Linked DNA regions of Rhinolophus ferrumequinum. The protein of the gene in region 1 interacts with the protein of each later gene in a pairwise test. Links are inferred from orthologs where the notes say so. Each region holds a gene or a part of one and is shown in the gene's direction. Other genes may lie near its edges.

The links. The genes of interacting proteins can lie anywhere in the genome.
Region 2: the proteins of PPP1CA (region 1) and RANBP9 interact in a two-hybrid assay, tested with the Homo sapiens proteins (2 studies listed by BioGRID and IntAct). The link is inferred for Rhinolophus ferrumequinum from reciprocal best matches to the Homo sapiens genes PPP1CA and RANBP9.

Annotation. Positions count from the first base shown.
Region 1 is NC_046294.1:4,830,801-4,837,753, forward strand, and holds the start of PPP1CA (serine/threonine-protein phosphatase PP1-alpha catalytic subunit), read left to right. Parts: upstream 1-3,883; 5' UTR 3,884-3,973; coding exon 3,974-4,028; intron 4,029-4,545; coding exon 4,546-4,677; intron 4,678-4,830; coding exon 4,831-5,061; intron 5,062-5,602; coding exon 5,603-5,707; intron 5,708-6,108; coding exon 6,109-6,332; intron 6,333-6,414; coding exon 6,415-6,549; intron 6,550-6,621; coding exon 6,622-6,732; 3' UTR 6,733-6,953. Other genes in the region: TBC1D10C (carabin), read right to left, coding at 1-136, 269-334, 914-1,028, 1,227-1,333, 1,418-1,525, 1,741-1,840, 2,530-2,681. UniProt on the Homo sapiens protein: Protein phosphatase that associates with over 200 regulatory proteins to form highly specific holoenzymes which dephosphorylate hundreds of biological targets.
Region 2 is NC_046292.1:80,648,880-80,656,417, forward strand, and holds the start of RANBP9 (ran-binding protein 9), read left to right. Parts: upstream 1-4,533; 5' UTR 4,534-4,861; coding exon 4,862-5,420; intron 5,421-7,538. UniProt on the Homo sapiens protein: May act as scaffolding protein, and as adapter protein to couple membrane receptors to intracellular signaling pathways. Acts as a mediator of cell spreading and actin cytoskeleton rearrangement.

The DNA of each region.
Region 1 (6,953 bases):
GGGCGAAGAGGCACAGGAACCACTCGGGCAGGTAGAGCAGGGGCCCGACGCCCACCTGCTGCAGGTGTTTGTGCACACGCGGGAGCAGCCGCCGCAGCAGGGCCATGAACACCTCAGCATCCAGCTGCACAGCCTCCTGCGGCCATGTCCGTCAGCACCTCCACTCCCAAAGCCCAGCAGGCTCTGCCCCGCTCAGTCCCCAGGCCTCCACCCACCCATCCACCCAGCCCCTCCCCCTGTGCCCTCTGGCCTCATCCCAGACTCTTACCATGTGGGGCCCGTAGTAGCCTGGCAGGTAAAGCTCACAGATCTGCACCAGGCACCAGAAGGCCTCCTGGAGGTGGAGCACAGGCCATGAGTGCCCACCATGGAGGGGCCACAAGGGGAACCGCAGGGCAGGGGGAAAGGGTGCAGGGGAGGGCCTGGATACCATCTGCAGTGACTGTGGATCTAGGTGCCGGGACTCAGACCTGGGGGCGCTCTTACCAAAAGCCTCCCCTGCTCATGGGTCACAGGGCTCAGGGTGTTGAATTTGAGGGTCACAGAATCGAGGCTCACTGGTCAAAGGTTGGGAGGATCCCAAAGCTCAAGTCCTGGGTTCTTGGGGTCATTGGTTTAGGGATCATGGTGACAGGGTTCAGAATCAGGAGTCAGGAGGTCAAGGTGATAACATGCAGACTCCTATTCACTGGGGCAAGGGGCAAGGGGCAAAGGTCCCAGGTTCCTGCAGTCCAGGTCATTGGGCTTTAAGGTCACTGAGGCTGGCAGTCATGAAGCCCTGGGTCACTAGGACAGGATCTGGGGTCAAGGATCCCAGGTTCCTGACATCAGAGTCCCTGGGGTTGGGAGTCACGGGTCACTGGGGTTGGGGGTCAGGGTTTCGGGCCCCTAGCACAGGGTTAAGGGCACTCACCTCTGGGGGCAGATGCATGAGTAGCACGGCAGCCACAGGACCCTGTGCCTGGCAGTAGCCCTGTTCAGGCCGATACAGGGTGTAGGCCTTGAGTACCTGCAGGAGCCCCTGCTGCCTGTGCCAGAAGACCCCATTAGGGATCAGTCCTCCTGGCATCCCTTTCCCCTCTCTGCAGCCTTTGCCCAAGCCTCACCACCCCCAGCCTTGCTGGCTCCCCTGAGATGCAAAGACATAAAGCTGGGGTGGGGAGGGGCTGGGCCAAAATGCCTGGGGTTGTGAGGCTGGGGGTCCCTGGGCATCACTGGCCTCGTACCCGTGACCTTGGGGAGACACAAACATCTCGTGCAGAGGGAACTGGCGGTGCAGGTCCCTGCCGATGGTCTCCATCCACTGTGGATCTCCCGGAGTCTCAGCCAGTTCCTGTGGGTAGGCAGGAAGGTAGGTGGGAGGGCTCAAAGTGGCGAGGGGCTCTGGAAAGGGGGGAACCCCTGCCAACTCTTATACCTGATAGATACCAGGGCTGTTCTTTTGACACACATGGGCCCCACACAGCAGAGGCCAGCACCGGGCACGCAGGGCTGAGGGGATGCCTTTCCGGCACTGCATCTTTACCTGTGCGGAGGCCAAGGGACCCCATTAGGCCAGCAGGGCCAGCCTCCCCTGCTCCTGCTGGCAGGCCCCAAACACAACTTAGCATCAGGCAAGGGCCACTTTGGGTGGTAGGGAGAAAAGACAGGACACAGGAGGGGACTAAATTTTGCCAGGGCCTGGGCTGAGGCAAAGGAGAATAAGCCAAGACGGCCTGGGTGGGGCCATTCTCCCCTCACCTTCTTGTACCGCCGAGACATGGTTTTCTCCCAGTGTGAAGTCATCTCCACCCACTTCATCTCACGTTGACGGATAAGGTCTGCAGAAGGGTGACCAGGCCTGGGAGCACATGGCATAGACATCCAGGCGCCAGGCAGCTGTTACCTACAGCCCACATCTGCCACCCTCATGCAACCTAAGTGAGCCCCTGGGGGGTGACCTGTCACCCAAGAGTTGCCAGTGGTTGTCATGGGGACAGGAAAGGATGTGGCTCCAATGTGGGTGGAAGCAGGAAAGACTGAAAGGGGTGTGTAGGTGTGCATTGGGGGAGGGGCTGGTTGGCTGTCCCCCAGGATAGGGACACAGACAACTCACAGGGGAAGCTGTGTGGACTGAGCCCTGTACTAGAAGCCAGGAGTACTGAGTTTGAGACTGGTTCAGTCTCTGATCTGCTGTGTGACCTCAGGCAAGTTCCTTCGTGTCTCTGGACTTTTTATCCTGTCTGTATATTGGGAAAGGGGGAGGGTGGAGAAAGAAGTGTGGGTTCTGTGATTTGGATTTGGGATTCCTGGGCCAGAGGTTAAAAGGGAAAGGATGTTCAGTTCCCAAGGTGGGTCCAAACCCTTGGGGTTTGGGGGTAAAGAGACAAGGACACCCCGGCCCAGTCCTGCCAGCCTTAGGAGGGGTGACACTTGCTAAGTCCCCAGACCCGCCCAGGACCCTTGAGGTTGGGCCTCATTCTAGAATTCAGCTCTCAGCCCCTATCTTCAATCCAGGACCTCCCCCACCCCCATTCCTTCCCCACTTACCCTGGCTCTGCTGCGCTGCCTCCAATGAAGCCATACCGGTCGGCCCGGCGATATGGGCCGGGCCCACTCAGCTCTGAGTCAGACCCCAAAGAACTGGAATCATCCTGCAGCTCACAAGCCTGCACCAGGTCCTCACCCAGGGCCTGGGCCATGGTGCCCCAGACCCCTGATGCAACAAAGAGGCTGCAAGATGGGAGAACCAGTGAGAGAGGCAGCTCCTGGCCTGGCCTCCCATCCAACCGGTCCTCAGCCTCAGGTCCTGGCTGTGGGGTTGAAGGGAGGAGGTTTCAGGGTATCTCAACAAGCCCCTTGTGTCCCCACTTCTATTGGTGGGAGGGGGTTAGACCCTGAAGTGGCAGAAAGGCCAGGCCTCTGTTCAGAGACCCAGCCCCTGGCCCAGCACCCCAGCTTACCTCCCAGAAGCACCTCACCTCCTCCTCTCACTTCCTCCTCAGACACAGCTTCAGCTACCCACTGGGGGGCCCCTCCCCAGTGTGTGTGGGGGGGTTACCCCTTCCTCTCTGAGGCTTTTCCGGCCTGCCCCAGTGCCCCTGGGCTATGGGCTCCTCCCACCAACCCAACCCTGTACCCTGGGTTCTTGTGCCGGGCTTGATGGGACCAGGGACTGCTGGAGGTAGAGGCCAGGCTGCCTCCTGTGGAGGATACTGGCATATAAAACACTCAATTCAGGGTTTCAATGAGAATTATGGTTTATTTAATGTTTGCTCTTTAGAAAGTAATACTTTTAACATGCTCACAATGCAGTTTGTGCTACTCAAAGGCAGGCAAGGATGGGATTTTAAAAAATTAATTTAGATTGCACCACAGGCAGTATGAACTAAAATGGGCTCGGAGTTCTATGGAAGCTGCCTGGGTTTGGTCAGCCACCTCGGGGGCCACAAAGACGCAGGAGGTAGAGGTCCTCTGTGAATGTGAGGCCAGGTATTGGACCAGCCCCTTGTTATCTCTGAGCCTCAGTTTCCTTTTCTGTCCTTTGAGGACTTAATCCACAGTGTTTGGGGAATCTATGATTAACGTGCTCACGCCAGGTGGGAAGTTCGGCTGTTCCGCCTGTGAAAGAGAAAAACAACTTCCACAGTATTTCCGGTCCTATATTCTCAGAAAGAGGCTGAGTAATTCTCAGGGGCGGAACCAGACTCAACCTCACCCCACAAAACCACGCCCACCGACCAGGCCCCGCCCCAGGCACATAAAGTACCGCCCCGTCACCGAGCCCCCGCCTCCCGCATGGCGTCCAGCGGAGGCGCTAGAGAGCTGGGGCAGCAGGCAAGGGAAGCCAGCGGGGTGGGGCGGGCCGGGGCGGGGCGGGCGGCCGAGGAGGCGGGCCGGGGCGGGCGGAAGGAGCGACAGGCCGGAAGGAGGCATCGGAGGGCGGGAGGCAGGAGCTGGCCCGGAGCTGCTGGGCCGGAGCGGCAGAGCCGCCATGTCCGACAGCGAGAAGCTCAATCTGGACTCTATCATCGGGCGCCTACTGGAAGGTTGGCTGGGGTGTGGGAGGTCAGCGTCCGCCTCGCCCTAACCCCCGGCCCGGCTCGGCCCGGAAGTTGCGCGCGGGCGGGCCTGCCCCTCCCAGGGCTAGCTTAGACTGGGCGGGGACGGGCCGCGAGGTTCCGCGGCCGCAGCCGCCCCCCCACTGGCGGCGCACCTTGGGGGCGTCTGGGGCCCTTCGGGCACGGGGAGCAGCCCCCTCCTCTGGACCGGGGACGCACCAGTTGGCCTGGGCTCTTGGGGTGAGGGAAAAATCTAAGAAGCCTGTCCCCCCCACCCCCGGAAAGGGGTCCTGCGTTGGGGGGTTTCGGCCCTTGCGCACAGCAATCCCCTCGAGCACCTTAAGGGTAGTTGGGGTCCCGTCCTGGCAGGCTAAGCAGCAACAGCTTCCCGGGGCAAGGAGGGGCCCAGGAGGCCCAGGCGCCGCTAGAAGTGCCCATGGGGCACCTGTGCCGCCCACCCTCCTGTCTGAGGAACCAGGGTCCTGACGCTCCATTCCGCCTCCAGTGCAGGGTTCGCGGCCTGGCAAGAATGTACAGTTGACAGAGAATGAGATCCGTGGTCTGTGCCTCAAATCCCGGGAGATTTTCCTGAGCCAGCCCATTCTTTTGGAGCTGGAGGCACCCCTCAAAATCTGCGGTGAGACCCCTGCCCAGGCCCTTTTGCTTCCTGAAGGTGTCCTCGCCCCCCCCTCCGCCCAACCCCTGGATCCCTCTTCTCTTGAGCCCACCCTGGCCCTGGGTTCAAGTCTAGATCCCGCACCTAGTGCTGACCTGCTTCCCTGGGTCACAGGTGACATCCATGGCCAGTACTATGATCTTCTAAGGCTGTTTGAGTATGGTGGCTTCCCTCCAGAGAGCAACTACCTCTTCCTGGGGGACTACGTGGACCGGGGCAAGCAGTCGCTGGAGACCATCTGCCTGCTGCTGGCCTATAAGATCAAGTACCCCGAAAACTTCTTCCTGCTCCGTGGGAACCACGAGTGTGCCAGCATCAACCGCATCTACGGCTTCTATGATGAGTGTGAGTGGGCTGCGTGCCTGGGGCTGCCAGAGGCCTGAAGTTCTCTCCCCACTGTTTGGTGGGACCCTTGCGTTGACTTGGTGGTAGGAGTATCGGCATCTGACAGATAACCTGCTAGACTGTGAGTGTGGGGAAGGCAGGGCCCTGCCCGACTGCCCTCCTGCTCTGCTGCCATGGGGCCTGGCCCTCAGGAAGGGCCGACCACAGTGTAATACAGGGTCCTGTCTGGTAACATTCCCTCTCGCACATCCGTTACTTAAGCACTTAGGATGCCTATGTGGCCTGGACTCTGCTGGCCAGAAGCTGAGATTAACCAGATCTGGTCTTGGCCTGGCCCCGCTCACAGGGTGGAGGTGGGTGCCAACCCTGACGTTCCGGATTGGAACTCGGGGGTTCCTCCTGGAAAGCTGGTAGGCAGTGGGTTTCCCTTGCGTTTCACGCTCCTCTCCCAGCTGTGTCTGGGAGGCCTTGGGGGGCCCACAACCCTGTTGTGGGTTGGATGGACAGGCCGCCTCACAAGCCATCTCCTTCCTCTGGGCAGGCAAGAGACGCTACAACATTAAACTCTGGAAAACCTTCACCGACTGCTTCAACTGCCTGCCCATCGCGGCCATTGTGGACGAGAAGATCTTTTGCTGCCATGGAGGTGAGGACGGCTCTGGGAAAAGCCCAGCCACATCCCTGGGGACCTCGGGATGAGGCTGTTTGCTGGAGGACGTGTTCCCAGTCACCTGGAACAGCTTTCCCTGGGGTCTGGGCTTGGATGTCCCCCCTCGCCAGTGTTAGGCTGTACTCTCTGCTGTTGTGGCCTCAGCATTGTGCGTGGAACTTAGAAGTTTCCTTTCTCTAGGGAGCTCTGCGCTCCTAGAGGGCAGGGACTTAAACAGGCTAAGGCGGTGAGTTCTGCCGACCTGGGCTTCCAGGAGTCCAGGAGAGGGCCAGGTGGTAGTGGGGGGAGGCAGAAGCTAATTGGTCAAGACTTTCTGGAGGAGGGTGGCCCTTGTTTTGAGGCTTGTTTGAGGAAGTGACCTGCCCCGTGTCCCTCAGGTCTCTCCCCGGATCTGCAGTCTATGGAGCAGATTAGGCGTATCATGCGGCCCACAGATGTGCCTGACCAGGGGCTGTTATGTGACCTGCTGTGGTCTGACCCTGACAAGGATGTGCAGGGCTGGGGCGAGAACGACCGTGGTGTCTCCTTTACCTTCGGGGCTGAGGTGGTGGCCAAGTTCCTGCACAAGCACGACTTGGACCTCATCTGCCGGGCACACCAGGTGGGCTGGGAGCTCTGGTCTGGGTGGGAGTGGGGCCTGGGCAGCCAGCACCTGCTGAACTAACTGCCCCGTCCTCATCCAGGTCGTAGAAGATGGCTATGAGTTCTTTGCCAAGCGGCAGCTGGTGACACTCTTCTCAGCTCCCAACTACTGTGGCGAGTTTGACAATGCAGGCGCCATGATGAGTGTGGACGAGACGCTCATGTGCTCCTTCCAGGTAGGGGTGGGGAAGGAAGGGGCTGGTGGCCCATGGCTCAGCCCCGTGAGCCTGACCAGTTCTCTCTCTTAGATCCTCAAGCCCGCCGACAAGAACAAGGGGAAATATGGGCAGTTCAGTGGCCTGAACCCTGGCGGCCGGCCCATCACCCCACCCCGCAACTCCGCCAAAGCCAAGAAATAGCCTGTGGGTGCCCGCTGTCTGCCCCCGAGGGTGGACTGTGCAGCAATCTCACAGCCGTGGGGGTCACACTGGCCCCTGGGCCTACCCATCAAGGGAACACGGAGCCTTGGTGTATTTTTCTTTTTTTTTTAATGAATCAGTAGCAGCGTCCAATCCCCCAGGGCTCCCCCTGCCTGTGCCTCGGTGGCTGCAAGCAGGATCCTGGGGCTGAGGCTGCAGCT
Region 2 (7,538 bases), on another chromosome or scaffold:
GAGACCTTGTAAAAGAGACTCCAGAGAGACCCCAGAAAGAAGATGGCCATCTATGAAACAGGAAGCAGGTTCTCACCTGGTGAAAACTGAATCTGCTGGTTTCTTGATGATGGACTTCCCACGCCTCCAGATCCATGAGAAATAAATGATTGCTCTTTATAAGCCACCCAGTCCATGGCCCTTTGTTCTAACAGCCCGAATGTACTAAAACACCATTCCTTTGGCTGCCTGCACCCTACAGAATCCACTGAATCCATGGCCATTTCACAGGCCAGTTGGTAGCAATGACCGGAAGTCAGGGAAATTCTGGGGCAGCCTTCCCATTCCATGACTCCATCAAGAACCTCATCGTGCCTACTCGACAACACGGAGGGAAACATTGCAAAGGAAGTGAGTTTCTGCTACCTGCTTCTTGCTTTTACTCCATTTTGGATGGACTTTTCATATCGCTATAAGGAAACAAGAAAGAGGGGATACAGAAATCAATCTGTAAGAAAAAAATGTGAGTTTTGACAAATGAAAGCGTTACAGTGGACTAGAGAAAGCAGAAGGAAAAATTAAGAGGAAAATCAAGAGATTGTTAGATTAACTTGTGAAATAATTGATAGCTCACATTCTTTAAGACAAATTTGCCATTTTTGTTTAAATTCTTCTAGAATAGATTAATAGTTTCCTCTAAATTCAATAACTTTTCGTTTTCACATATATTTTATTAACGAACACTGAATTGTAATGATTATATTCACACATGAATATGTGTATTCCATGGGATTCCGCAGATCCTTTCACCCTGAACTCTAAGCCCCAGAAATACTATCTCTTGGTTTGCGGTTATAGGCAGCACCACCTTCCCAGTCTGGCTGAGACAGCACGCGAAGTTCTCCCTCATTAGATGTTGTTACCTGGACTCGGATTCTTTGAAGCCTTTGTTTCTAAAGAGCATTAACTGTTTCTCGAAGTCCTTGCTATTTAAAGGATGGTCCATGGACGAAAAGCAAAAGCATCACCTGGAAGCCTGTTAGAGATGCAGAATCTCGGGTCCCCCTCGGCCAGTCCCCACATTCAGGTTTGAGAAGCTTACTGCTTTAATTCATGTATACCAATCTTGCCTCTCCAACTCCACTCTATTCACTGCAGGAACAGGTTCAATACTGCCTCGTTCGTCTTTGTAATCCCTCTTTCCTCTTTTCCTTACTCCATGCCCAGAACTTAACACAGGGTTCCATACATAATAGTGGCTTAAATGCTGACAGAGCACTGCTCCCAATTTAGACTCCATCCTGCTGTAGTTTCTTAGCATTGTTCAGCCACTTGCCACCCATTCCAATTTACCACACATTAGCTGCCAAAAAATCTTGACTCCATTCGCATACGGCATTAAGCTTGTCCAGGACAAGGGTGCAGCAGCATTGTTGGTAATAAAGGGAATTTATTAAGTCCTGGGATTTCATTGCCAGTGTCTTGGTCTTGTCATTTAGTGTTGAGAATAGTTTATAAGGAATATTGATAAAGTGATCTAGAACAGAGATCACAAAGTACAGCTTGCAGGTCAAAACCAGCCTATTACATTTTTTTTTTTGTAATAAAGTTTTATTGGAACACAGCCACATCCATTGGTTTATAGATTGTCTGTGGCTACTTTTCATTCACGATGGCAAAGTTCAGTAGTTGTGACAGGCACCATATGGCCAATACAGTCTAAAATATTTAGTATCTTAGCCATTACAGAAAAAGTTTGCCAATCCCTGGCTTAGAGTCATATTTGATGTGTATGTGGCAAGTGCAGTCCTCCTGGGTTCACCGGAAGTTGCAACGACCCTGTGATAAGCAGATTTCAAAGATGGCCTGCAAGATCCCTGCCTTCTAGAATTCATGCCCTTTTATTATCCCCTCCCTTTGAATGTGGGCTGGTTGTCCAGCCTTTTGGTCAATTCTGAGAACCACCCAGGATCTTTCCAGTAAGTTTCTGCTGCTTAAGAAAGCCAGAATTGTCTCCTATTGTTGGCTATGAGAACCTCCAGATAGATATACATCAACATGATAGCAATACATGGTCAAGACTGAAAACACAGGTGCAAAAAGAGTGTGAAGTTAAAAGCTAATGGATTACTTATATCTCTATGTACAAGTTTAATATTTCATAATAAAAATTTACTTTTAATTATGTATTACAATTGTCCATTATAGAAATATTTTGGGATTTCCCTTCATGTCTTCTTGGTAACAATTTTGGCAATGTATAATTGCATAGCCTTGTTCCATTTAGCACATCTAAATCACTTTCCCATGTCTTCAACCATTTTTAAGAGGCCACGTAACATTTACTTCAGCCTGTTCCTGTGAAAGAGAACTGGAGAGAGTGGGTTTGAAATTGAGCCCAATATCCACTAAGTCAAGAGGGAGGAGCGTCTTTCTATTGGTTTGCCTCATTCTTTTGGCAATTCCTCTGCCCAAAGGGGGTGCATTAAAAAAAACAAAAACCAAATTTGAACAAATGTGCTATATGTGTTCCTGCGGTCCTAATTCCATTGAATGGGGCATTCGATGCTTTCTTCAATTAGTCCCTCCATGTTGAGCATTTAGTTTGCTTCCTTATTTCGTCTATCAGTACTTTCCTGTTGAACATTTGTAGGCCTCAATTTCTTCCACAGTTTAGATTTTGTTACTTGGTTTCGATTTTTTGGTGGGAATTAGTCAAAAGGCGTGAACACCTTCATGTCTTTTGCTAACTATCATCAAATAGGTAGCTTTCTAAAATGACGTTATCAGTGTTCTCTGCCACCGTCAGTATTAGTGCCTATTTCACATCACCCTCCCGCAAATTGAAATCATTAATTTCTTGAGATTGCTTGTTTGGAGAACAACCAGTCACTCCTATAAAAGGCTTTCGACGTAATGTCAGACATTTTTATTCTCTCAACCGTTCCCAGGACATGCAAAGTTCTAAATAGTTTCAAAGTGTGCTAACAGAAAAAAGTACACCTTCATAATTAAAACCCTGATGATGATTTCAAGAAAGTTTGTTGACACCCATTTGGAACCCATTTCTTCTACCTTGGCCAGCCTTTTAAATAACATTTAAATAGAGACTGGCTTACACCTAACTCATTGTTACTGAAATATAAATGAAAGTTTTAGAACAAGTTCAATACAAGGATATCTTGTGATTTAAAGTGCAGTGACTGGAAAAAGTCACAAAACAATAGGTTAGAATTGTTGGGTATTTTTATTAAAGAACAACAGGGCATCTAGCTGTCTGGGTAACTGAGGGAGAAATTAGACTAAAGGACTATTAGTTCTGGTCAGACATCCGAGGGCCTTCAGTTAAATCACCATTTACCTACTCTCACCAAAACAAAGTAAATAATTCTCTACTCAGCAAATAGTTCTTTCTTATTTGGCCAAACAATTACCATCCTCATTTCTTTGGAAGCAAACAAAATACCAGAATTTATATCATGTAGTTCACACGTGTAAAGCTCAATTTTACCAGCAAAGGAAAGGAGAATGCAAACAAAGGGAAGTGGTGAAAACAAAATAGTAATGCTAGGATGGGTCAGAGAGCAACACTTGGCAAATTGTGGCAAATTAGTCGACCAAGCAAAGCACTTATTGGGAATTGCAAAGTAGGAAGTCCTATTTTTGACTCTGCTGACCTCAGTGAATATTTCCTTGTTTTAAAAATGGCATAATTCTTTGCTACCTAACAAAGAAGCCTGTTACGAAAATTAACGAGTCTATAAAATGTTTTGACGTCTCTAGAAGCCCTTCCTAACTACACATTATTACCTTGTCTTCATACAGATCATGTTCCTGTCTTTGAAGATATGCCAGTGTTTCAGTATTCCTCTTAACACCATCTACCACTACAAGTTCACTTTAAGTCCTCATAAAATTAATTAATACAATGCTCACAATTTTAAGTGGGAGACTCTGCGTTCAGAAATGGTTTCCATCCCCACTGTGATAATGTTAACGTGTTAAATACTGTGAAATACGAAGAGCAGTAGGTTCATAAAGAGGGAGGCGGCCAGAAGGAACCTGTCCTGGGGAACCCGTGGGCACTCTCCAGACTGCTCACCTCGGGGACTCGATTTGGGCTCCAGCAGCCGGGCTCGCGGCCGCCCCAGCGGGGCTCGATTACTTTCGCCTGGGCGAGAAGCAGCACCGCCACTCCAGCGGGAACCCTACGGTGGGGAGGTGGGGCGACGACAACAAAAAGAAGTGAAGTAGGAGGAGATTCTCCCGGGGAGGGCCCGGGCGGGCGGGGGAGGAGGCAGGGACTCCGCAGGGACCCCTGCACCGGGAGCCGCGCGTCTCGTCCGCCAGCGGCCTGCGGGCCGGGGACCAGACTGCGCCGTCCGGGCCGCGCGCCTCCTCCCACGCCACCCCCGGGACCCCCGCGAGCCCGACACCTTCCCCCACCACCCCACGCTGCCCCGCCCCTCGCGCTGCTCGCGCGCGCCGTCCCCGCCTCCTCGCCCAGCGCCGCCCGCGCGCTGCGTCTCGCGCCGGTCCGGCCCGCCCGCCGGGAAACAGCCGCGAGAGCAGCGGCCGCGGCGGCTGCCACCGAGCTTTCTCCACCCGCGCTCCCGCCTCTCCCCCGCCCTCGGCGCCTCGGCCAGGGCCCGCGCCCGCGCTCCGGCCAACGTTCTCTCGAGGCCTCCCCGGGCCCGCAGCCCACTCCCAGTCTCCGAGCCCCCCAACCGTCGCGCTCTCCCCCGGCGCGCGGCCCGCCGCCTGCTTCCGGGGCGGGCGGACTGGGCGCTTGGTGCCCGCGGCCGCAGCGACAGCGCCCCCGGGAAGCAGAGGAGGAAGGAGAGAAGAGGTAGAGGTGGCCGCAGGCTGAGTCGCGGCCGGGATGTCCGGGCAGCCGCCACCGACGCCGCAGCAGCAACAGCAGCAGCTGCCGCCGCCCCCGGCGGCCGTGGCCCCAGTCTCCGGAGTCGTCCTGCCGGCGCCGCCAGCCGTCAGTGCCGGCTCCTCTCCGGTCGGCTCGCCCGGCGGCGGCTCGGGGGGCGGCGGAGGCTTGGGGGCCGCGGCGGCCGCCCTGCTCCTCCACCCGCCGCCGCCACCGCCGCCGCCCCCGGCCACCGCGGCTCCGCCGCCGCCCCCGCCGCCCCCGCCACCCTCCTCGGTTGCCGCCCCCGCCAGCGCGCCTCCAGCGCCCCCGGGTCTTGCCGCGGGCCCCGGCCCGGCCGCAGGCGCCCCGGCCCTGGCGGCGGGCAGCAGTGCTGCGGCCCCCTTCCCGCACGGGGACTCGGCCCTGAACGAGCAGGAGAAGGAGCTGCAGCGGCGGCTGAAGCGCCTCTACCCGGCGGTAGACGAGCAGGAGACGCCGCTGCCTCGGTCCTGGAGCCCGAAGGACAAGTTCAGCTACATCGGTCTCTCTCAGAACAACCTGCGGGTGCACTACAAAGGTACTGGGCGTGTGTCCTGCGGTGGGAGTGGGGCCACTGACCCGAAGTGTCCTGCCGCCGCTGCCGACTCTCGACCCGCCCGCGACCCCCTCCCTCCCGGGGCTCGGTGCCCTCGGAGGTGACTCGCCGCCTGTGCTGCTTCTCCGAGGGTGGGATGGGGGTCGCGGTGAAAGGTGCGAGGGAAAGGGGCCAGATGCTTGGAAAAGGAAGGTGAGTATACTGCTCCTCGGTATAATGGAGCGGGTAATCCTAGGCCAGGGGTAGGACACCTTGAGGGAATCCAGGATGACAGGACACAACTCGCTTTCTGATTTCCCTTGAAGATAAATCTTAGGGCTTGGATGGAGGAATCCATGGACTCGGAGTTGGGTTACATTGTTCTCCAGGTGGCGGTGGGTCAGGCGTTCTCCTCTTACGTGGTGGGGCGCGGGGGCGGGGGGGGGGACACGATTCTGAGGTATAATTTCTAATTAAGGGAGAGCAGGGATATATAGGGAGAGGAGTAATCAGTGGAGATTTCGTCCAGAATTAGGCTAGAGATCGTCTAGGGGGTACAAAAGGACAAGGGGCCCAAGTTTGCCATCAGTAGCTCTTATTAAAAGCAACTGGGAGGGTAAGAGAGGTGAAACCTCAGGAGTCCGCGTTTTCTTCGGGGAGCAGAAACCTACCACTGCTGATTGGAAATGCTCTATATATTTACGTGTTGGCATTATATGAAATGTGGTTGAAAACAAGGATCTTCTAAAAAACGTTATTTCGTATTGTTTTTAAAAATTGGCTTGTGTTTTACACCTGCAGTTAAAAAAAAGCCTTAGTCTTCTGCTTGTCTCCCTCCTCCCTCATCTAGCTCTGCTATGTTAAAACAAAGCTTTAAGCAGATCAGCTGTATATAAAATTGTAAATTGCTATGGGAATTTTTGAAACGTAGCCCAAATTAATTGCATGAGTCAAGTTTACTTGTGAGTGGGGGAGGGGAAGGAACAATCCAACGTATCGGTCAGTCTGGAAACAAATCCAGTTTTTTAGGCCCCAAACCTGAATCAGGAGCTTTTACATTCAAAGCAGCCTCATTTTGATTGGCTACAAAGGGAGGGTCTTAATCAGATCCTAGTGACATGGATATAGAGGGTATAAACAATCGTTGTGGTTAAATTCTTAAAGTATACCGGACTGAAATTTGAGAACAGCCTTGATAAATAAGTTACTGTTTAATCAGAAAGGAGAATGGCGACAGAAATTTACCAAATGATTTGGCTGCAAGGAATCACGCACAAAAATAGGCCTTGTTGAATATTTCTTCTTATCCATACCATAGATGGAGAGAACTTTCAATTTTAAATATGCTCCTTAGTCTAAATGGCTGAAAATTTCAAAATATTGGACCTTTGGTTTTTCTTGTTACGACATTTTGTTTATACCCTGTGAAGGCTATTATTTATTTAATTTTGTGTTTTAATTTGTGTGAACAGTGCTAGGTACGTTATAGTGTTTACCTCTGATCTGGCCATCAGAAAGGTTTTTGTTAGTCTTGACAAAACTTTTTAAATTTATGGTTGATGGTTAATAATTAGCTTATAAAACCAGAGGTAGAAGATACAGAAGATTATTGAACAAAGAATCCTAGCTTTCCTGAGTCCTGCAGTCATTTGTGATTTTTAGACACGTTACAAAACAGGGCCTCAGTTTCTTCCTCTGAGTGATGAGGGAGTTGAGCTGGATAGTTGGGGAGGAAATTTCCAGCTTTGAATTTCCATGATAGCTAAGATTCATGATTACAGTTTATTTAGCACTGCAACATGGCTTGATTACTTTTACCAACTCCTTTTACATGAAATTGATGATTTGGGTCAAAGTACATGCGTATGTGAAATTGGTTGAAATTTGGAATATTTATGACACTGCTCTCTCAATTATTTTTCCTGTTGGCTTCTTTATTAGTTTCTGTTGTGTAACACTAAGATTCATTTTCTGGAAACTTCACTTTTATAAACATAAACCATTATTTCCGGAAGAACAGATTTTGTTGTTTGTCATCCTTTTTCTTTTCTGTCCGTCTCTTCTATCTCCCCTTTGTCTCTCCCTTCCCCCTTGTCACAAATACAGTCTCTTTTTTTCCCC